Lepisosteus oculatus: one gene and its partners. The protein of the gene in region 3 interacts with the protein of the main gene of each other region in a biochemical or structural test. Links are inferred from orthologs where the notes say so. Each region holds a gene or a part of one and is shown on either strand. Other genes may lie near its edges. The genes, in order: ptpn1, mtor and stat3.

Region 1 (7,197 bases), on a different chromosome or scaffold from region 3:
CTACCTTAGTCTTATAAACGACATGTTGAAAAAGAAAGTATAAACTGTTATCCCTGTTGTAAATATTTACCCCACAATGTTTCATTATTTAAAAATATTCAGCATCTGGTGAGTTTTTTTACCCAAATTGTGTTGATGATAATCTAGAACCAAACAGGAATGTTTTATGTTAAAAAAAGTCTGTTTTGTTAACATTTTCTGTTGAGGGGAAAACTGTTAGTAAACACTTTAGGAGATTGTAACACATTGTGCTATTCTCTGCATGTTAACCACTGATACATCCATAAAAGTAACTCTAAGCAGCTGTGAGAACTTGTAAATGATCGTTAAGTTTCCTTCAGTTGACATCCTAAAGATTTCTAGCATTAAAATTATATACATTCACATAAAAAGATGAACATGTGGGTCAAATGCACAGAAGATTTTTAAACTCACAGGAAAGTTGAGTGAATACATTTCAGGTCCTTTTCTATTGAACATTGTTCCTGTGCTGGACTAACGCAGATTGCAATGCAAGCTCTCATTTCCCGCCTGACCTTTACAGTGAACAGTGGTCTGTGCTCCAGACAAAGCTGGGAGAGATTTCCAAAGGTGACAGCGAGGAATCTTGGACAGGGAAGAGAACTGAAAGCCTATTGATCTCAGATTACAGCCAAGATTTAGGGAAGCTACTGGCATTTCTCCCTTTCCCTTAGACCTGTCTAAATCCATCCATTTCCTAACCACTTCTTCCAATATAGAGTCGCTGGGGAGCTGGAGCCTATCCCAGCAAGCAACACTCTGAACAGGACGCCAATCCATCTGAGGGCACGCACAGACACAGACACGCACACTCACACCCAGAGGCCTGTTACCAGTATGTTTTAAGCTGTGGGAGGAAACCAGAAACGCGGAGAGAACATACAAACTCCACACAGATAGCACTCCAGGTCCAGACATGAACCCAGAGCTCCCCAACACTGCTAACCACTGTGCTGCCACTGTCCACAACCATTCAAGAACATGTCAGAATTGCAAGTTTGATAAACTGACACTCTGTGCCCTGACTGCCAACTAATGAGTCCTGTCTTGGGCTCTTTCAGGTGCGGGTATGCACTATATGTGAGCACAATACCCTTTTCACAAACAGACATAACACACCTGCACAAGGCAATAGCAGGAGTTAGATGGCAGAAAGGCAGTGGAAGTCATTCACGCATGTCTTGATGTTTTACATGACCGCAATGCTAAAAGGTTTACAGATACTGCTCAGCGTCTTCTATAGTACAGTCCTGTGTTGTAAACGCTGCTTGAAGAGGAGCACCAATGCGTCATACTTTGAGGTTTTATTTCACACCTCCGCTTTTGTTAGCTTGATAAGGAGCAGGTAAAAAAAAAAATTCAGAACTGTTCCCTTGAGTTAAAATGATACTAGGAGCCCAGATAACAGGTGACGAATAATGATACTACTTTTCACTTTGTTGTACTGATTATTAAATTTGTAGTAAAAAAAACAAAACACTTTTGGCTAGTGACTCAAGTCCCGAGTGATGAATAAAATATTTTGGGTTTGGGCTAATACTTGCTTAGCAATTAACAGTCATTAGCCATTTCCTCTTTTCCGCATATCACAGAACAGGCTCGCATCAGAACGACTGATTGCACAATAAACCGATCTACATTATCAACGACTTGCAAAGCCTTCGAACCGCAAAGGGAACTATGATGCTCCAAATACACATGGCAATTTTTACATTTGGAAGTGGGGATCCTCAGTCTTAAGTTAACGAGTTATTAATACCGATATCTTCTGCTAGGGCCCCGGCGTGCTGTATGTGTAGTACAATACAGTTTTATTTCCTGAAACTGCCGCTACCGTTAACGTTAAAAAGTAAGGTCGAAATCGTGTTTTGGGGTGCAAAGAAACAACACTCGGAATAATCTTAAAACATAACATTACCGAAACAGAAGACTAATATAGTTTTTTACATATAGGTTGCCGACACCTTTCTAGGTTTGAAAACTAAATTATCGGAGTTTGTTTTACCCCCCCGCAGTGGGCGACTTTAATTTACATATTAAATTACATTTCTCAGAAAAAAGACACCGTGTCGCGCTGCAGTAAATTAAATTCAGGGAGTTCATGTAGAGAGGGGGTTTTCCGGCCACATTACAAATACATGTGTTGTGTCAGCGCAGCTCATCACAGCGTGCCTTGTTCAGCGCATGTATAAATAATGCTCATTTCCAGGTGTGAAAAGACCACTTACAATCTGACACACGTGTGTGAAAGCCAAGAAGTCACGTACTGTAGCGAAAGCAGTGTACTTCGTGGGCATGTGGACATCTTCCACGAACTCGAGCACATTGGAAAACTAAAGAAAATCACTTTTAAGCAGAGGGGAAGGGATTAAGCATTTTATCCTTTTAAATCGCGCGTTCTCCGAATCGACTACACGTCCAGTGGCAAAATCAGCAAATATCAGCCCTTTTCGGCTATCCACGTTGTCGTGGCTTCCCAGTTATTTAAAGTCTCTTCGCCTCCGGACCAACGTAGCTGGGGATCACCGTGTTAGTTGGACCAGTTCGCTCCGGCTAACGCGGCACATCCGAGATTACTTTGAGCTCCAAGCCAGCGCCAAAACCCGGGATATCCCCTCCTTCTTTAATCTATCGCGGCAGATTAGCAACGAGCCTGCTCGAATTACTCCTGTCGCTGCCTTCTACACCCCTATCGCTACCTCGGTTTGCCCCAACACCTACCTGGTAAATGGCGCTCCAGCTCCCGGACTCATCGATTTCCCGAAACTCGGCTTCCACTGCCGTGCTCATACCGCCCTCTCTCCCAGCTCCCTCCCGGTAAAAAACGATTAAATTGACAGCCGATGCCTAACTAATTACAAACCCCGATCGCTCCTTTTTCTTGTCCAGCATATAGATTTAATGTATTCTTTTCAGTTGTTTCCTGGCCTGTTCTAACCGGAAACACGCCGCTTGCGCCTCCCCGCACCGAGACTGTCCCTCCGCATTCACGGGACACGCCCACACCGCCGCTACATGGCCAATCGTGTCGCAGGAAGCGCGGAACTGTGAGTGGGGGAGCCAATCAGCGTTTCCCGGAGGGGCGGGGTTCCCAGCGGGCCAAACAGGAGGCGAGGAGTGAGGGCTCTAGTTTTTCTGGGACTTGTAGTTTATATATTAGAAACAATACGGATTTGCAGCTATAATTAATACTGTTGTAGCTGTCAAGTTGGTGGAAACATAACAGAAACGAAGATGATACTCCTAGGCCCTTACCGACGATCTTTAAGGTCTTGATAATATTGCAGGACACCGACATATTATATACAGCACTCGCATACTTTGTTTTATTAAAACACGTTGAGTATATATAGATACGTAGCATAGCGTATAGCGTAGACACCAAATGCTGTTAAAGTTCTTCAAAAATAAAAAAGTTAAAAGGTAGCAATATTTGACTACTCGGCTAATCCGGCAGTTGTCAACTCGTGCCTAATTCTTTACCCATCGTCTTTAAAATGTCCAGAAAGAATATTAGCTTTTATTAGGTTTTAATTATTTTGTGACACTGGATGGGTGTTTTTACCAGTTTTAAAAACATCCGTGCAGCCCAGACCACGTGACTGACTCCGACCCGCTGTGAGGGTTGTAGTATGCTGGTATGCTACTGTAGTAGGTTGTAGTATAAATAATGCCGAACTTCAATTTTTTTTTACAAAATATGTTCTCCTAAAGTAAAAATAACACTTAAAACAATTTCAGTTTCATTTTAATTAAAGTTAGTCTTTATTCGCTTTATAATGCGACACTACTACTACTGTTTCTGATCCGCATCCGATCATTCTAAAATCAAATTAGCATCGGTCTTGTTGGACCTGTTGTTGAGAATAATATTTGTAAACGTCTAGATTAAATCCAGTTTCCCGTCCCTCATTCGCTCGCTTAATGTTTAATCCCTTTCGCAACGATTAGAAAAAAATGAAACTCGTAAAAACAAAAGGATATTGCCTTAAGCAAAAGGGATTTGTCATCTATTTCAAACGTCCTTTTTCATGTTGATTTATGTCCCCTGGAGCAAAATGAACAGGCTTTTATAGTGTGTAATAATAAGAAAAGGGAAAATACCTTTAAAGATTCTACAATGAGGGATCTCATTTGTCAAAACTAGTCTGGTCCAGGCAGTTTATAATGAATAATATATATCATGCAGGCTTGTGACTCTCAGGTATGGAAAGTCTGGGACTTGAGCAAAGGCAGTCGACCGAGAAGAGTGCAACCTTTAGCAAGATGACATGACCTCCTGCAGACCCTCCAGCTCGATTGATTGAGCTGGAACCAGCTCCTTAATTATTGTATTGACAATCGTCAGGATCACTCAAGTAATTAAGGAGCCTGATTGCATCAAGCCCCGATTTAGCAAAATAGAGAGCAAATCTGGGGCAGTGGGATCAACATAGCTGAAATACTACCCAAATGTCCTCACGTAGACTCAAGTAAAATGGCAAAGGGAACCTTTTTAGAATGACTGAGGTCAAGTGGACCTGAAACATGAAGTGTGTAGTTTTTTTTTTACTTTGACCAATGTAAAATAAAGTTGCTTTCAATACCTTCTTTGGACAGTGTCAGATATGATATTTCCTGTTTTAACTTACAAAGATGAAAATTGCAGAAGGTACTATCATTTTTTAAAAAGCCAAATTGTTCCAAACGCGCAGTAATTTATTGCACATCTCAAGATTACAACATAAAGTGGCATTTACTTTATTGTAGAGAAAAAAAACAATTAGCCATTACATTGATATAAAAGTAGTCTTCATTTTAAAATGCTTATTATTCTCTGCAAAGAAATGCAATTGGTTAAAATGAGTTGCTCGTCTGCATGTTTTTTTTTTAATGAGTACAGCTACACATGCTATAAAATATATTGGAAGCAAAAGTGTGACGGGCTTGTTGCTGATGCTACTGTGCACAAACACAAAGCTCAGGCACAGTGCCACTGGATAAGGACGACATGACCCCCAACCATAAGGAAGGTCATTTTAAGGGAATGCACAACAGGTTTTCAGCACAGAAATGTGATATTAAATAAGGTTATAAACTTAACTTGGTTATTCGAATAATTGTGCACTGTGGATTAGTGAATCAATTAAATCTGGTAAGCACTACCTTCAGAGGTGACTACCAATAGATGTGCAAGCCATCAAAGATGCAAATGGTTGGAAAAGCTGACATAGTGCCCTCTGGTGTTTTATACTATGAACACATTCGTTTGTATATCAAATTGTATCTGTTAACAATGCATAGTTAACATAGTACAGGTGTTCAAAAAGGCCACATAATTTAAAATCTGCACAGCTCCATTAGAAGTCAGTTTACGGACTATACTTGCTTTTCAGAACCGTATCTAATGCCACAGAAAGGAATTTGTACACAGTAGTAAACTCCCAGTGCAAAATGCCTGCTGCATGGCACCACAGAGATGGATATGAAGTTCCCTCTTATCTGTGGAGTACTTAGTAATCTATTGGGCTGAAAAGCATTGTTTATATGCAAGACATTCTTGTTGAAAGTATTACACGTTGTTGATAATATCTCACCCAAACACCAGTTCATTCCTGTTCACTGGGATAAGTCTCTTCCAGTAACCATTATTTCTCCAAGACAAAACATTGTACCATCATAGTTTCCTTTAGGAAACAAAGAGCAATAACGATATTGCAGCAGTGGCAAAATACATTGGTATATTAAATCACGATCTTAACATGATGTCAAGTTCAGTTTTAATTATCTGGAAAACAGGAAAAGTAATACAAATGTGCCTGCTTGACCAGAACCACGATAACTCTCTTTACTGTGTGGAAGACACACAAACTGCCAGACTTTTATTTGATTCCCATATCTATATAATAATACATTATTCATGTAGTAAATGATTTACTGAAAAATGTGGCATGATGGTGCAGTGGGTAGCATTGCTGTTTCACAGCACTGGGTTCAATGCCAGATCCAAAGTGCTATCTGAGTGGAGTTTGCTTGTTCTCTCTCCATTTGTGCAAGATTGCTTGACTGCTATGGTTTCCTCCCACAATCCAGCAACATGCTGGTGGGTTAACTGGCTCCTGTAAAATAGGCTGAACCTGGTGTGAGTGTGTGCATGTTTGTGTAGGCTCTGCAACATATTTGCGTTCTGTGGATAGGCTCTCAGGATAGTAATTGATGAAACACAGCGGTGCTTTATCAATTTTTCTTGAACTCTGCTTTATCCTTAGTTACTCCTTATGAGTTAACTAATTTTAGAGACGTGGTTCCAATACTTCCTCCTGCTGTTCCACAGTGCTGTTCATTGATATAAGCCTATCTAGTTCTGCCTGGACTGAGAAACGGCGCAGCTAGGCTTCAGCACAAGCCAGACGCTGTTGTATCCTGCTCTGCCTATCGCACTCTGTCCGAATTCAGCAAGTGGACACATAAGCTGCCCACGTGCTCAGTGAATTTAGGAGGGTCCCACCTTCGAACTGGAAGCCAACGTGCTGGGCTCCTGTAGATGACACTTGGGATTTTCGCCGTGCAGATAATTTGATCCGACAGCCAGCATGAAAAGAAAAAAGCCTAAGCCGAAAGGCAAAGCAAATTTCTTCCCCTTTTCCTTATGATATGTATTTCTGTCACCATTGCAATTTGGAGGGAATAGATTGCAGTAAAATTGGATGTAAATTCGTAGCCTGAAGACTCACCTAGCCTAGTTCATCAATTTCTTTCTCAGTTTTAGAAAAAGTGCCTGTCAAAAACACAACCTGTATTTAGAAAGACAAAGAATCTAATCCCATCTTTAAATTTATTGCTATAATGCGTGTTTTCTCTTAACAATATGACGGTCTTAGAGGTGTTACTGCTTGAGTTCTCTATGGGGCAGTACAGTGGTAGCACTTAGAGCCCTACATTTACTACAAGACAATGCATGACTGAACCTGTAAAGTATTTCAAGATACGTTACTGTAATTATGCTGGAAGCCTAGAATAAGGATGATTAACATATTTGAGGAAGACATGCCAAAAATAAATTTTTATGTAACTCTTAGAATACACTTTCTCTGTGGCCTGTGTAAGATTTTAAATGACCATGCATACAAAACCAATAAGACTTTGAGCTTAAATAAAAAAATATAGGACAACCACCTTTCTCGAAAACCGCCTTTA
Region 2 (7,259 bases), on a different chromosome or scaffold from region 3:
GTTCTCAGGTCCGAGGCGGGTGGGCGCCGGCCAGCGGCAGCCCACTCCAGGCGCGAGGTGAAACGCCAAAAAAGGCCTGGCGGCAAAGCTCTTACCGCGGCGTGCCGTCGCCCCTCGTTCCTGTCCGCCCCCAGCCACTCCAGAGCCCTCTTGACCTCGAACTCCACGTACTCCGCAGTGAAGGTGTCCCCGGCCATCGACAGGTGGCCCATGGCCTTCGAGGCCATCTCCATGACCACCGGGTCACTGGAGGGCAGCAGGTTGCGGAGGTAGTTCGCAAATCGACTGATTCGCGTGGCATTTCCTCCTTCGACTCCAATCAGGCTCACTGTGTGAGGAAAACGGCACAGAAGCTCAGCACCGGCAGCCATTACGGAATAAGATGACCTGCGTTTCAGACAACACTGTTCGGTAGTGTCAGTATCGGGGTTTTCTTCATTCCTCGAGGAAACCTGGGGAACGGACACAGAAATCGCAGGACTGACTCACCAATGGCAAGGATGCCTCCTTTCTTCTCATTGACATCGGAGCTGGACACCAGCTCAAAGATATGATGGTTCAGCTCGTCATAGAAGGTGGTGGCCTCTTCTTGGCTGAGCTGGGAGAGACAGCGGCAACGAGAAAAGGGGCTGGGATTAACATTCCTGCGCTGGGCGAACCTTCAACAGTGCGCCACATCCGCCTCCACCATAGCAGCGCTGACTCGTTTGATCAATCAATTCTGTAAACCGCTAAGAAAACTGAAATCAAACCAGCAATAAATCAAATTCGACCCTCTTGGGTCCAAAGCACTTTCATTCCTCGAACAGGACTGAGACACGCACCACGCTGTGCTACACAGCACCCTGAGCCTCCCCCAGTGACGGGCAGGGGAAAGGGGCAGTGGGGACCCCACGGGTCTCCTCACCTCTCGCAGCTCGGTGGTGACGTAGTGCTGGAGGTCCTTGGCGGCTTTGGCCCGAGTCTCCTCACTGCGGCTCTTCAGGCCGCTGACGAACTGCTGCAGGACGGTGGCCGTTCCCGACATGATGGCCGCTGTCCAGCAGGGGGCGCCCACCTCCCCGTTCAACTGTATTAAAAAAAAAACAACACTCCTGGCAGCGGTTCAGGTGGGATTTTGGGGTTTTGTTTTTTGAAAAGGGGCAGAAAATGGAATTTTCTTCATCGACTGAAAACTAGAGGTATAGAACTGTCTTATTTACACTATATTGATATTTTCCCATAAGATGCTGTTTATATGCTGCTATGATTTCAAGGGAAATAACGGGAAAAATATGCACCAGAGCTATTTATGACCAATTCTCAGTTATCTCTATGTTGTCAAATGTGTAAAATGTTTGGAACTGCTCCTAGGAAAACAAAATGAGTCCCTTTGCACTGTGGTTGGATTATTTCTGGTTTTAAGAGTTGAAGATCTTCAAGAGACCGTGTCAATGCAGTGGAAAACGAAATACTTAAGATTATTTTGATTCCACATAAGAGGTCTAAGCGAGACAGACTGAAAATGACACAACAGGCATGAAGAAACTGGTACTGGCTTTTCTGCAGGTACTGGAAGCTTGGAAACCTGAAATGCTACAAAAACAATGGCAGCCTTGTTTCTCCCCAAAATATTTACAACGATTGTGGATTCCCTCACGACTCAAAAGATTGTCCCTGAGAACTGTTCTGACTGTGGTTGGCTTCTTTTAGTCAACACTATTATTCAGAACAAGAAAAAACTGATGTGATGTGCATAAATCCCAGGGAAGCTACACCTCATTTAATCACTGCCTTACAAGTATGAGAAAGCTGGGGGTCTTGTTTGATCCTGAGCTCTGTTTTGATACACACATAAAAGACACCTGAAAAGTCTCTTACTGTCACCTCAGACACGCTGGCTTTTCTTGACTGCACTGCTGCAGAAACCCTGATTCAAGCCTTCATCGCATCTCAGCTGGGTTAGTCTCCCTACCTGACTCCTAAACAAACTTCATCTGGTCCAAAACTCAGCTGCTTGACTTCTAACATGCTCAAAGGTGACCAATTCTGACACGTCTTCACTGAAGCCCCCGCTACCCAGCACTTTCAGTTCAAACTTTCACTGTTAACTTTTAAAGCCCTACGTGAAATACTCAACACCTCTCATTGCTCCCTGTGTACGGTACCAAACAGGGCTTCACACTCTGCTATAGCAGCACTTTTTACAGCTACAGGTCTTGAACTACCCTCTCAGATGCCCTGCTCAACAACTCTGGTGCTCACTCCCTGCCACTCTGACAGATGTAAACTCTTATACAGTTCCTGCTTAAAAATAGAAGAAAAGCAGATGACCATTTATAACACCTTTTGTGAGGAATTTAAGGAACCTGAGCAGAAGAGAGATACGTATCTGGGGTCCTCAAAGGGAGTCTTGGAACAACAAGTAATTGGCAGTTACAATTGGCAATCCAGTTCACTCTAGATAAAGTACATCCTTACTTTAGTCCAGTATTTACCACATCCATTACAGAAAAACTCAAGAAATAAACCTTAATAAAAGGGAAAAATATACGGTGCTTTTGACCCTCCAGGACAAAAGGCAGTGTGTAAATGCAATAAATGTCTTAACCATGCTTCCAGGTTTCCTCCCACAATCCAAAGACATAGCGGTGATTAATTGCTTTCTGGGAAACTCGGCCCTAGTGTGAGTGGGTGCCCTGCCATAGATTTTCGTCCCGTCCAGGGTGTACCCTGCCTTGTGCTTGCCGAGATGGGATTCAGCTCCCCCGCGACCCTGAACTGGACGAACCGGTTAAAAAATGGACGAATGAATTTGTATTGCTGCTGCACAGCCGGACCTCAGGCTCATAACCAAATCGCTGAAAAAAGACCCTGTTTGGTCCACTTTCTATATATACAGCAAGGGGAGAAGGTATTAAAAGCGGCATAACGTAATGATGAATCTAATTTGAATTAAAATGCCAATAAGTAAAGTAATAATTAATTTATATAGTAACATACTCTAAGATAGACGAAGTGGCTATATTACCTGAAGCGAGATTGCGACACTTTTAAAAAAATGCATCGATCGTCCTTAAAACTGTGTTACGAAAGGCTTCGGTGCACAACGTATTGCATGAATTAAAACGATATTAACGTTTTTGACAAAGTGGACGAATACAGTGTCCCTTAGCAAACCATGTCGTGCATTTTCTTAAATGATTCCTGTACTGAAGCAGCCTTCTTTGAAATACTGACATCGCATCATTAAATGCAAATAAACCAAGGCTCTGAGTATTAGGCTTAGTGCAATAAGCACAATTAACTGGCGTTTATTCAACAAAAAAACACCAAATTATTTTAATGATCCAAGCAAACGCATAATTTCAGTCAGGAAGAACAGTACTCACCAGTCTCAGATTATCACAACCTAATTTGGGAGGGCGACCCAAGACCTTGGAGAGATTTCTATTTTGACCAATGAAAATAAGAGAATTTGATGATTGACAACCACTCTACCCATTCAAAACACGCGAAAGTGATTGACTGGACCCGCTATCCAATGAAACGAAACATTGACTTGCAACAACTTCAGAAAAGGACCAATGTGAAAACGTTTGGCCTTTATTTACGAAATTGAGGATGCTGGTTTTTCATTTGTCGTGTGGGATAGTTTGGTTGGATGGCAACTGTTTAATATAAGCAAGAATCTTGTTTAAAAAAAAATAAAAAATCAAGACATCAGCGCTCATGCCATCGGAGACAATATGTAAAAGCGAAGCGGCAGCCGAAAATCCCAATGTTTAAATTGCATTTATTGCCCAACGACTGCAATAGCAACTTTTTGATCATTGGGAAAACAAAACATAGTAAAACCGAAATACATGTCGGATTTAAGATTGATTTAAGCGTGATCACAAGCGCTGAGCAATCTTTAGGGGACATATGTCCTTTTCTAGATAATTTATTTCCCCGGCATTGTTTTCAAAAGGAATAAAACCGCATCGTTGTTCTGCTAAAATAGGTGACCGAGACTAAGGGTACAGGATGGGTAGTCGGACACATTTCTCGGTTGCACAAGGGGCGGTGGAACAAGATGGCGCTGCCCAGGTGGAGGGCTTGCACGAAATATCCTCGTACTTGACACGTAGCGAAAATAAGATTAGTCCCCGTGTAACGGTTATAGAAGACGGAGAGGAAGAATGCTACTTTCAGCGCGTTAGAGAGACTAAACCCAGAAACAACAGGTACGTTGCGGGATATTTTATTTGTCGTGCCGGTGTACGCCGCATGCAGAGCGAGAACTTTAATACATGTAACGCCTAGTTTTAATTTTAGTCAAACACTTGTGCACAAATCTGTGCACAGATAACAATCTCCGTTTCATTTGTTTAGCTTTTGGAAGGTTAACCTGAAACTAAGTAGCTCAACTTTTTCCCCCCTCTCTCCAACGCACTCAGGAGTAGTTGTTTCACTTTCACACAACCTCATACAAAAGATAAGATTTTTCGTATTCAGTCAACATGTATGTCTTTGAAATACGCTTGTGTGTCCATGTCTTGTACAGTAGCTTAAATACAAATACGCCTTTGTTTTGCAAATAGTTTTCTCTGTTCGTTTGCTATTTTATTTTCTTCGGTAGGGGATATAGTAAAAGTGAACTTGATTGCATTGCTCATCCCAAAGTTAAGATTCCTGTACTGAAGCAGCCTTTTTTTAAATATTATTAAGAATAAGGATGTTGGGTGGCATTCTTTACTGACTTGCCTATACATATATTAATACTTCTCAAAGTAAGGTTTCTTAACTTCTATAGCAGAAAGTCATCAGAAACTAAAATGATTCTGAAACTTGGTTCACACCTTCCCCCTTTCTTTCAACGAAAGACTTGTTTTATTCTAAGTTTCTGTTCATTTGTAGGTTTCATTTTACACCTCTCCTCGCCTCTCTCGACCTCGCACCACTTGGTTTGCCACTCTGCCCCTCCCCTGCTCCTGCCACCTCCTCTCTCCTGGCTTGTGTTTTCCCAGGCTCTATTATCTTTGCTGCCTGCCCTGTCTTTCTTACACCTGAAGAAGGCTCCACAGCCGAAACGTTGTGTTTTCTTTCTTCTCTTTTCAGCGTGAAATAAACCTATTACTTGTCCCTATATATACATATTGAAATGGATACGCCTCTGTGCACAACAATGATCTTGGCCACCTGGGCTGAGGAAGGTCTTCTTTAGCTCAGCTGGCAAGACCCCTGTTGAGCGATGCCTTAGTCCCGGGTTCGTGCCCCTGCGGTGGAGGAATGAACTGGGGTGGGAGTGGCAAGGGCAGAAACCCGAAAACCCAAATCTGTTCCGATCTATTAAATTTGTATTCATGTGGATACAGTGGGCTAAAGTAGTTTAAATTGTTCAAGAATTTTTAAATCATATTAAAATGCATGCTTGTTCTCTAAAACTCGTTTTCTAATTGTATTTTTAGTGGTACACAACAAAATGTTTCCATTAGGAAGATTCTTTAAAGTATTACTTGCTCTTGCCAGTAATTTCTAAGTAGTGAAAATCTAAATTTGCCCAGAATTGGAGTGAAGAGGCAAGAAGTAAAGGGCAGTGTGTTTGGAGCTTGCTCATGTGATTTCTTTGCTTGTCCTTCCTCTGTCCCTGGGCTCTTTGTTTCAGGTGATCCCTACGTGTGATTATTTCCCGGCGGCGGTGTTCATCCTCGGGGTGCAGGGATGACGGAGGGGGAGAAACCCGGCTTTGCGTCAGAGACTTTTGTCCTGGCGGGACCGAACGGGCGGAGCGCAGGAGGAGGAGGGGATCCGGGGGAACATGTTTTTGTCCAGGACCACCAGGAGGAAAAACCCTGCAGCAGGACAAGTGACATGAAGCACAAATGCGCTGCTTACGTTCTGGCCCTGAGGCCGTGGAGCTTCAGTGCCTCTCTGACTCCGGTAGCTCTGGGCGGCGCCCTGGCCTACAAGTCCGAGGGCTCCCTTGACTTCGTGATCCTGCTGGTGAGCGCTGTGGCCGTCCTGGTGGTTCATGGAGCTGGAAACTTGGTGAACACTTACTATGACTTCTCCAAAGGGATTGACCACAAAAAGAGTGATGACCGGACACTGGTTGACCAGATTCTGGAGCCCCAGGATGTAGTCATGTTTGGAGCGGTTCTATACTCCCTGGGATGTTTGTGTGCAACTTGCCTGTATTTTCTGTCCACTCTGAAGCTGGAACACCTGGCTCTTATATATTTTGGAGGCCTGTCGAGCTCTTTCCTCTACACCGGAGGTGAATTACCCACAATTTGTCATGTAGCAATAGTGCATTTATGAGTTCCCTTTTGGGGGAAAAAAAACACTTTTATCCTCGTGATGTGGAATAGTGACTTGAAAAGATGTTGCTGCTTAAAAAATCTCGAGCTGTTTTTTTGGAAGTAGTTTTAAATTTGCCTTTATGGATGGTTTGGACCCTGTTATTTTATCCGTGGCTACAGGTGCGGCGCACGCTGTGCCTGCCTCGCCGTGCCACGTGTCCCCGCTGCTCCTGAGCGTTAACCCAGGTCTCAGCTCTTCCTTCTCCTCCGCAGGTATCGGGCTGAAGTACGTGGCCCTGGGCGACGTCGTGATCCTGATCACCTTCGGGCCGCTGGCCGTCATGTTCGCCCACGCCACGCAGGTGGGCTACCTCTCCGTCCTGCCCCTGCTCTACGCCATTCCGCTGGCCCTCAACACTGAAGCCATCCTGCACAGCAACAACACGCGGGACATGGACTCGGACCAGCAGGCGGGCATCGTGACGCTGGCCATTCTCCTCGGGCCCACGCTGTCTTACATGCTCTACAACCTGCTGCTCTTCATGCCCTACATCCTGTTCTCCATCCTCGCCACGCGCTGCACCATCAGCATGGCGCTGCCCCTGCTGACCCTGCCCATGGCCTTCCCCCTGGAGAAGCAGTTCAGGAGCCAGTGCTACTCCAAGATTCCCCAAAAGACTGCAAAGCTCAATCTCTTAATGGGACTCTTCTATGTCTTTGGTATTATATTGGCACCTCCAGGGAGCCTGCCAAAAGTGTAACCCCCACCCCAGCTCCATTGATTTTGATAAACGTGTTTTTTTTTATGTTGGTATTTTGTTATAGAGTTATTAAGATCAAGGGCTTTCATTTCATTAATTCAAATGAGTGCAGAGAAGGACGTGCAATTATTATAGATAGGACAAGTGTCTTGTTCTTTGCCCTTTTATCTCATTCAGGCTTGTTTGCTCTCCAAGCTGAAATGTTTTTTACTCCGTGGTGATTTTCTGCATA
Region 3 (6,913 bases):
TATGTCTGTAGAATGGGAAACTGTAAGTATGTAGAGCTGCTCTTGAGGACTGCCTGAAACTGACACAGTGACTAGGGCCTGGGGCCCAGAATATAATGGGCTCCAGTTCTTAATGAAGACACTACTGTCCTTTTCCAGACAAGTCTTTCCCAGCCTCACCAGTCACCCCAAATGTTTAAACAGCTACCACTGTAACAGGGGCTTAAACTGCACTGTAGATGTAGATGTAGCACATATTCTCAGTTTTGATTAATGCTACAGACCCTTGATTGAATTGAGTTTTTGTTGACTCATCTTCTGAGGTCTGCGAAGGAGTTCAACCTTGAATTGTTTGAAAGAGTCTAAAGTTATCTTCGTCATTGCAGTCTAAGCTGTAGTTAGGCGTCAAAGTGAGTTACAACACAGAACGTCACATATGGAACGGCTTTGAATTTTAAGTGTACCTGTGCACAGAGTGTCACGTCATAGTCTAGTTAGTCACATGCATCACCATTTGAAAGTCATAAACAATACATCCGTTTAAAAGGCCGATCCTTAACAGAGGCCTGTTTGCAGTAAGGAAGTGAGAACACAATGCCAAAGGGAGGTAACTGCTTTTAAACAGGACACAATCTGACAGCCGATCTTTTGATTAGCTTTACTGGAATGCCATTTGTATTGCGATGCTGTTGCCAAGTCTGAATAGGAAACCTGCTGATTCTTGTAGCGCTTGTTGGTTAGCTTCTAAGTCCGGAGAGAAGCAGCTGCTCATCACTATGGTAACAGAAGACACGAAATCACTCACCCGCAGCTGGGCACAAAAACCAGACCTCAGACTTCGTTTCACCTGAGACAAACTGGCAATATTTTACACTTCTTCTTCTCCTGCTTGTTGAAACCAGACAGAATGAAAAAGTAGAAAGGGGTGAAGCAGATTTCACACTGTGTCCTACTGTAAATGCTTTCATAAACAGTAAAACAAAGTCAGATCATTTGAAAGAGAAAGTATTAATTTTATTCTGGGAATTCATCTGTTTTAATCCGTCTGTTTCCTGAGATTATATAACACAGATCCTACCAGCACTTACTGTTTGGTCAGCCTGGTTTAAAGCTGGTTCACAAAAACCTATTTTTGCCTTCAAACTGGCTATAGCCTTTGGTTAGCAAAGCACTCGTTTTTTATATCTAAAGTGAGAGAAATATATATGGTTCATGAATAAATTTGATATTAAATAGCGTGGCACCTCTGATGGTGCGAATGGAAACTTTGATAGACACTGTGGGAGTTTGTTTCACAGGTTGCCCACCATAACCGCCATTGTTTCATTTAAGCTACTCCTTCCTTAGAGGAAATGCACCGTGTGTCAAGGCTGAATTCTTTCAGATGAAAACTGTAACTTAAATCCCTTTGCTTTTGTTTTTTTCTGTTTTGGTTGACTGGGGCTAAATAAAACAAATCTTGAACAAGCAATGTTTGGGAAATCAAAGCACCCGCACTGTCAGAACTGGACGTCTGTGATGTAAGTCCACACGCAAGGTATTTCTACAGTATCTATGTGTACAGTACATGTCATATCTCACTTGGCATGTCAGTTTGGAGTGCCAGCTGGGAGACAGCAGCTCGTATGTGCAAACCAACAGAATATTTAAGAATAATTGTTACGCTTATATAGCCCTTTTGTGGACAGGTAATGGGGATCCCCTCCACCACCACCAGTGTGCAGCCCTACCTGGATGATGTGACAGCAGCCAGAGTGAGCATGTACACTCCCCACACACCAGCTCTCACTGGGGAGGAGAGCAGAGTGATGAAGCCAATTCCTAGATCGGGATTATTAGGAGGCCATGATTGATAAACCCCGGGATTTTTAATGAGGACAGAGAGTCAGGACCCCAGTTTTGTGTGTCCCCATCACTATACTGGGGCATTAGGATCCACACAGATGGCAGGGTGAGTGCCCCCTACTGGGCCCATTAACACCTCTTCCAGCAGTAACCTCAGCTTTCCCAGGAAGTCTCCCATCCAGGTACTGGCCAGGCGTCAGTAGGTTGCAGTTGTGATATATCTACCGGTCCCATGGCATTCGTAATCCTACATTCCTGGGTTTGACTATAGGCGTGGATGCCTTCTGTGTTTAGTTGGCATGTTTTCCAACGATCACATGGGTTTTCAGCAGGTGCTATAGTTTGCCTGGCTGAATTGCTCATTTCATGAGGAGGAAGTGTGATGCCCCATCCTCCAGGGAAAACTCCCCCACAATGCCAGAGCCCAACATAGAAGGGACATGTATTGAGTAGAAAGGCAATGACTTCGTCCGTTGGCAGCAGACTGGGTTCCCATCTGGAATGAAGTCATGGGAACTCAGACCAGACCAGACCAGGGGTGAGCAACACTGCCTTACAGGATGGCCGCACGCCAACTGACTGTAATAATAATAATAATAATAATAATAATAATAATAATAATAATAATATCGCTTTATTAGCCCTATACAATTTTCTTGCATTAGGAACTTGTCTTTTCACATACCCCAACTTGCTCTCCGTGAGACACACAGACAGGGAGAGAAGCTGGGGGTCAGAGCGCAGGGTCAGACATTTATACAGCACCCCTGGAGCAGTTGGGGTGAAGGGGCTTGCTCAGGGGCCCAACGGAGTAGGATTCCTCTGCCGGCTGCAGGATTCGAACCGGCAACCTTCCAGTCACAGGCACAGATCCTGAGCCACAGAGCCACCGCTCCGCCCCTCTGCCCATCCACTCATTCCTCCCACCACACAAGAGCGCCAAGGAACCTGTGGGGTCTTTGATTGACACAGCAAGGGGAACCCCAGCGGGGACACTGCCAGGGACCTTACAAACCCTTCTATATGGCCTTTCTGCTTTTATAGAAAACCACTTGCTCTGACATTTTTCAACAGTTTCAGCTGCTTAAAATGACATAAGTCTGGGAGCAGCAGAAATAGCTTGTTATTGTGTGAACTGGACTGTTTTAACAATACCCCACAGCTTTCCGGATAAACTTTGCTGTTAACTTAAGGAGAAAAATCAGAAAAACTGAAGGCAGGACATCTCCCTACCAAAAAGACTGGATACCCCCCAACAGTACAAATGTACATGCAGTGCAGACATCCATCTGGAAAATGACACCCCCCCACCTCCTCTTCCTTCAACTTCAACTTCCTTCAAATAACCCTTCACTGTGTCACTTCTGGTTTGTGCCTGTTCAGAAAAGTAAAAACTTCGGACTATCTGATTATCAAAGGGCGTCTATTATGCGTAGAATGTGGAGTTTAGAATAGAATATGGAGTTCTTACTAGAGACATTTATTAAAAAGCATACCAACGGGAAATACAGGAAAAGGAAATAAAGAAGACTGATAGGTAAATTGTCATTGCCTTCTAAATATATGTTTGATGATTCATTTAATAGCTTTCTAGCTATTTAGTTCCTTTCATTAGCAATAGCTCACTCAATGCTCTTAAAAATCCAGTTTTCATTTGTCTTATTAAACTGCATGTGACGTAATCACTGCCAGTAACTCAGATGATTTCCAGCCGCGCTGTTCCAGGCACTGTTACACCTTCCCTCCGCTGCAGCCTTTTTAAAGAAGGGATTCTTTTGAAGTTCGACGGAAGCACAAGAGGGAGGTAAGATTTTATTCTAGAACGGCGGTGAGGGCGTGAATTATAAACACTGCGATGTCGCGCACAGTCTAACCTTAGGCTTTCTGTCCCCGCCCCCTTTTGGGTTTTTGGAGGTGCTGATTGGATGAGATATTTACACCTTTATGAATAATTAAGTAACAGGAAAGGATTCTCCACGGTTATTGGACCAAGGAGCTGTTTCCTGCTACTGGGGTTAGGTTGTCTCCAATGCTGGCAGAGGAAATACTTAACAACAGCGATTTTTCAGCAGCCATCGAGTTTGGGAAAGTTAGAGGAAAAACTGAAAAGCGAAGTTAGGGAATAAGGCAAACTGTTAGCACTTCAGACTGATTCTGTCCTTTATAAAAAGATTAATTCTCGCTTTTAGCATTTCTGTGAGGAAACAGTTACGGGACCTTGATTTTTCAAGAGGACCTCCAGTGAGAAATCAGGTAAGGGGCTCTTGTGTAATTGTTACGATTTGGCCAGTTTTTTTTAAAAAAAAAACCCTTGTTTATAACAACAAACCCGTAATCTCGGATTAAGGTCTGCTTCGCGTATGACGGGTTTTCTGCATTGAAGATGAGGGATGTGTAAAGATTTAAAAGCCACACGCTTTTGCATGACTCACACCAGACGAGTCAGAAACACAGAAGCGCAAAAAGCGGACCGCTCGGCGAGAGACCCGGGGATGCGCGTTTCCAAACCTGAGCGAAAGCGAAAGAAATGGCCAACGTCGTTGATTTGAAAAAGCACGTTTTTTTGTGTTTGTCCCCACCCCCTCTCTCGATTGAGATTTTATTGATTTTCCCCGTGTCTGGCTGCAGTGCGATAATTTCAAGGGAGGTGAGCCCAGCAAGGCGACAGTGGCGTGTTTCTGAGCGCTTACCTGCGCGTACGAGTGAACCCCCACACCTGGCGAGCTTGTTCTGGTATGAGCTGTCTGTAGTCTCATCAATGGAAATGCCTGTTCTGGGTGAATGCCCACTTTCAAAATTACTCCGTAAAGATCCCCCTCATTTGAAATTTAAAACCCCTTAAGGCTCGATAAATGAGAAGTCATTCCACATGTCATGGTGTGTACTGTAACCGGCATTCAGCCAAGTCGGTGCCAAGACCCGGGGAGTTTTTATATTACCATATACTAGAACTGCGTTGAAGAGATTCCGGAACTGAATGGGGTTCCGGCACCCTGATTGGGGGGAAAAAAAGAAATATGATGAGATATATGTTTTTTTGAAATGATAAAGGGTAAGTTTCAGTTCATCTTTCAAGTTGTCCGCGTAAAACCGTGTTTTTCGTGAGGAAGTCTGCAGAAGTGGGTTTAGCTTCATTGACGATTTTCTTTGCACGAACACTTGTGTGTGTGTGTGGATAAATATTAAACACATTTCCTGGTAGAGAAGAGGCGAGCTCAAAGAACAGTCCGACAGGTCGGAGAGTTTTCTGTTCACTTGTGATTCATCTGTTAGCATTACGCAATGCTTTTGCAGCGAAAGAGAACAGTCGGTGTCAGATCGACTTCCTCGCTGGGCTAAATCGAGCTTCGTTCTCGCTTGCTGTGGTGAACGGTTCCGATGACATTAAAAGGCTATATATTTTTTTTTAGTAATCAAAGTTACAAAGTAACACCTTCAGAAACGTTTTGGAATTCTGGCTTTCATTTTTACGCGCAGAACGGAGGTGAGATCATGACTAATGCTTAAGAAAAACTCACTTTCCTTCATCCACCAGGAGTTCAAAAGGGCTGGTTGTTGATTATTTCGACACCCCTGCTAAAACCCTAAAAATAAAAGGACGGTCACTTAACGTCTACGTTTATTTTTGGTTATGCAACCAAATAGTTTAGGTAAGGCTTTGTCTTCTGTGTTTTGGTTGGTTAGAGATCCATACCCGTTCTTTAGTACTTGCAAACTGTAAGAAACCGGATTTATGTTTTGCAGAGGTGAGGTGACGCCTTTGAACCGTGTGCGTAGTTTCACGGTGCTTTGGGTCAGCTCTGATTTTTGGAGGAGGCTGAGACGAGCAAATCGATCGCAGTTCTTCAGCTTTAAAGACGCGCTCGTTTCCACGGCCTGAGCATGTGTTGTGGTAGCTCGATAAATGAGGTGCTAGGTTCGGCCCTTTGAAGTGGCTGGGAAGGGGAACTCTGCCTTACACCTAAGCTCGCTGTGATCAGCACAGGTACCTGCTCGCCGGCTCGGGTGGATGTACACGCGAGTAGGCTTCATGACAGGCTTGGGAATTTCCTCTCTGGCAGCCTGAAGCACGTAGCTGAAGGTCGAGAATTTTTCTTTTACCAGAGAATGGAACTGTAGCGGAGGTTTGGAAAAGCTGGGGGGGGGTCCTTTGCACCCGATCTCCGTGCTGCAGGGTGGCCAGTCTCCACTCGTGAGCGTTGCCGTGCTTGAGCAACGAGTCGTCCATTGACACGGGTGATAGTGAGTGGGTGTGTGTGTTGGGGTGGGATACTTCCACTTGCCGTTCAAGAAATGACTTGGGCTTAGAGTCTGCGCAGATCCCACTCTTTTAGCATAAAGCATGGTCTGAGTTTTCCCAGATTTCCACTTTTCCACTCTCGCTCTGCATCAGGCATGGAAGACGCTTGGAGAAAGTGGGCTCGTTGAAGTCTGCAGGGCTTGATAAAGGTTCCTCTCCGCCTGGTGGGCGGCCAGTACTCGCTGATCAGTATGTGATCATTATTTTGTCGAAGCTGTCTTACACAGGAAGCTGCTTGTATTGATGAGGTCTAAATGCAGAGGTCTTTGCTCTGGTGTGGGCATTCCACTCAACATCTCTTCAGCACTGCACACTCTCAAAGATGTGCTGTTCTTTTGTGATGCCCGTTTAAGTGCTACTTGACTGAGCTACAGAGCTTGATGGCTTAGACTGCATTTTAAAATCAGGTGTTGCGATGGCTTGGTCTTTTTGCCTTTCAGCTCGTCACCGTGAAGGATCAGTAAAGGATTATACTAGAGGTGTGTTTCATAATGTCTTCGTCAGCCTGACATTTTGTTTTCAATATTCTGTGGTTTATCAATGACTTCACCTGCAATTGCCCCTGCATCCCTGTCTCTTCCTCTTTCTTCTCAGCTCTCATCTTCTCCCACTCCCACGCCTCCTTGGTGAAGTGGACTGTGTGCTTAAATGCACCCTTGTTTGAACCTGTCAGCTGTTCCACCACTATCCGAGTGCTTAAGTAGTGCTTTAAAAGTGAATTTTGCCAGCTGAAGCAGAAGGGCCCCACTCTGTTAGCTGAGTGAATAGATGCATGGAAAAGGTTTCTTG

Evidence for each region.
Region 1: of the proteins of stat3 (region 3) and ptpn1, one has a biochemical effect on the other in vitro, tested with the Homo sapiens proteins (2 studies listed by BioGRID and IntAct). The link is inferred for Lepisosteus oculatus from reciprocal best matches to the Homo sapiens genes STAT3 and PTPN1.
Region 2: the proteins of stat3 (region 3) and mtor form a complex in vitro, tested with the Homo sapiens proteins (2 studies listed by BioGRID, with this or other methods). The link is inferred for Lepisosteus oculatus from reciprocal best matches to the Homo sapiens genes STAT3 and MTOR.

The regions. Positions count from the first base shown.
Region 1 is NC_090711.1:12,094,932-12,102,128, reverse strand, and holds the start of ptpn1 (tyrosine-protein phosphatase non-receptor type 1), read right to left. Parts: upstream 3,007-7,197; 5' UTR 2,812-3,006; coding exon 2,743-2,811; intron 1-2,742. UniProt on the Homo sapiens protein: Tyrosine-protein phosphatase which acts as a regulator of endoplasmic reticulum unfolded protein response. Mediates dephosphorylation of EIF2AK3/PERK; inactivating the protein kinase activity of EIF2AK3/PERK.
Region 2 is NC_090720.1:2,864,021-2,871,279, forward strand, and holds the start of mtor (serine/threonine-protein kinase mTOR), read right to left. Parts: upstream 3,105-7,259; 5' UTR 3,047-3,104; coding exon 3,011-3,046; intron 1,070-3,010; coding exon 908-1,069; intron 599-907; coding exon 490-598; intron 329-489; coding exon 96-328; intron 1-95. Other genes in the region: ubiad1 (ubiA prenyltransferase domain-containing protein 1), read left to right, coding at 5,686-6,241, 6,540-7,027. UniProt on the Homo sapiens protein: Serine/threonine protein kinase which is a central regulator of cellular metabolism, growth and survival in response to hormones, growth factors, nutrients, energy and stress signals.
Region 3 is NC_090723.1:4,842,178-4,849,090, forward strand, and holds the start of stat3 (signal transducer and activator of transcription 3), read left to right. Parts: upstream 1-3,835; 5' UTR 3,836-4,077; intron 4,078-4,514; exon of another isoform or gene 4,515-4,703; intron 4,704-5,192; exon of another isoform or gene 5,193-5,308; intron 5,309-6,913. UniProt on the Homo sapiens protein: Signal transducer and transcription activator that mediates cellular responses to interleukins, KITLG/SCF, LEP and other growth factors. Once activated, recruits coactivators, such as NCOA1 or MED1, to the promoter region of the target gene.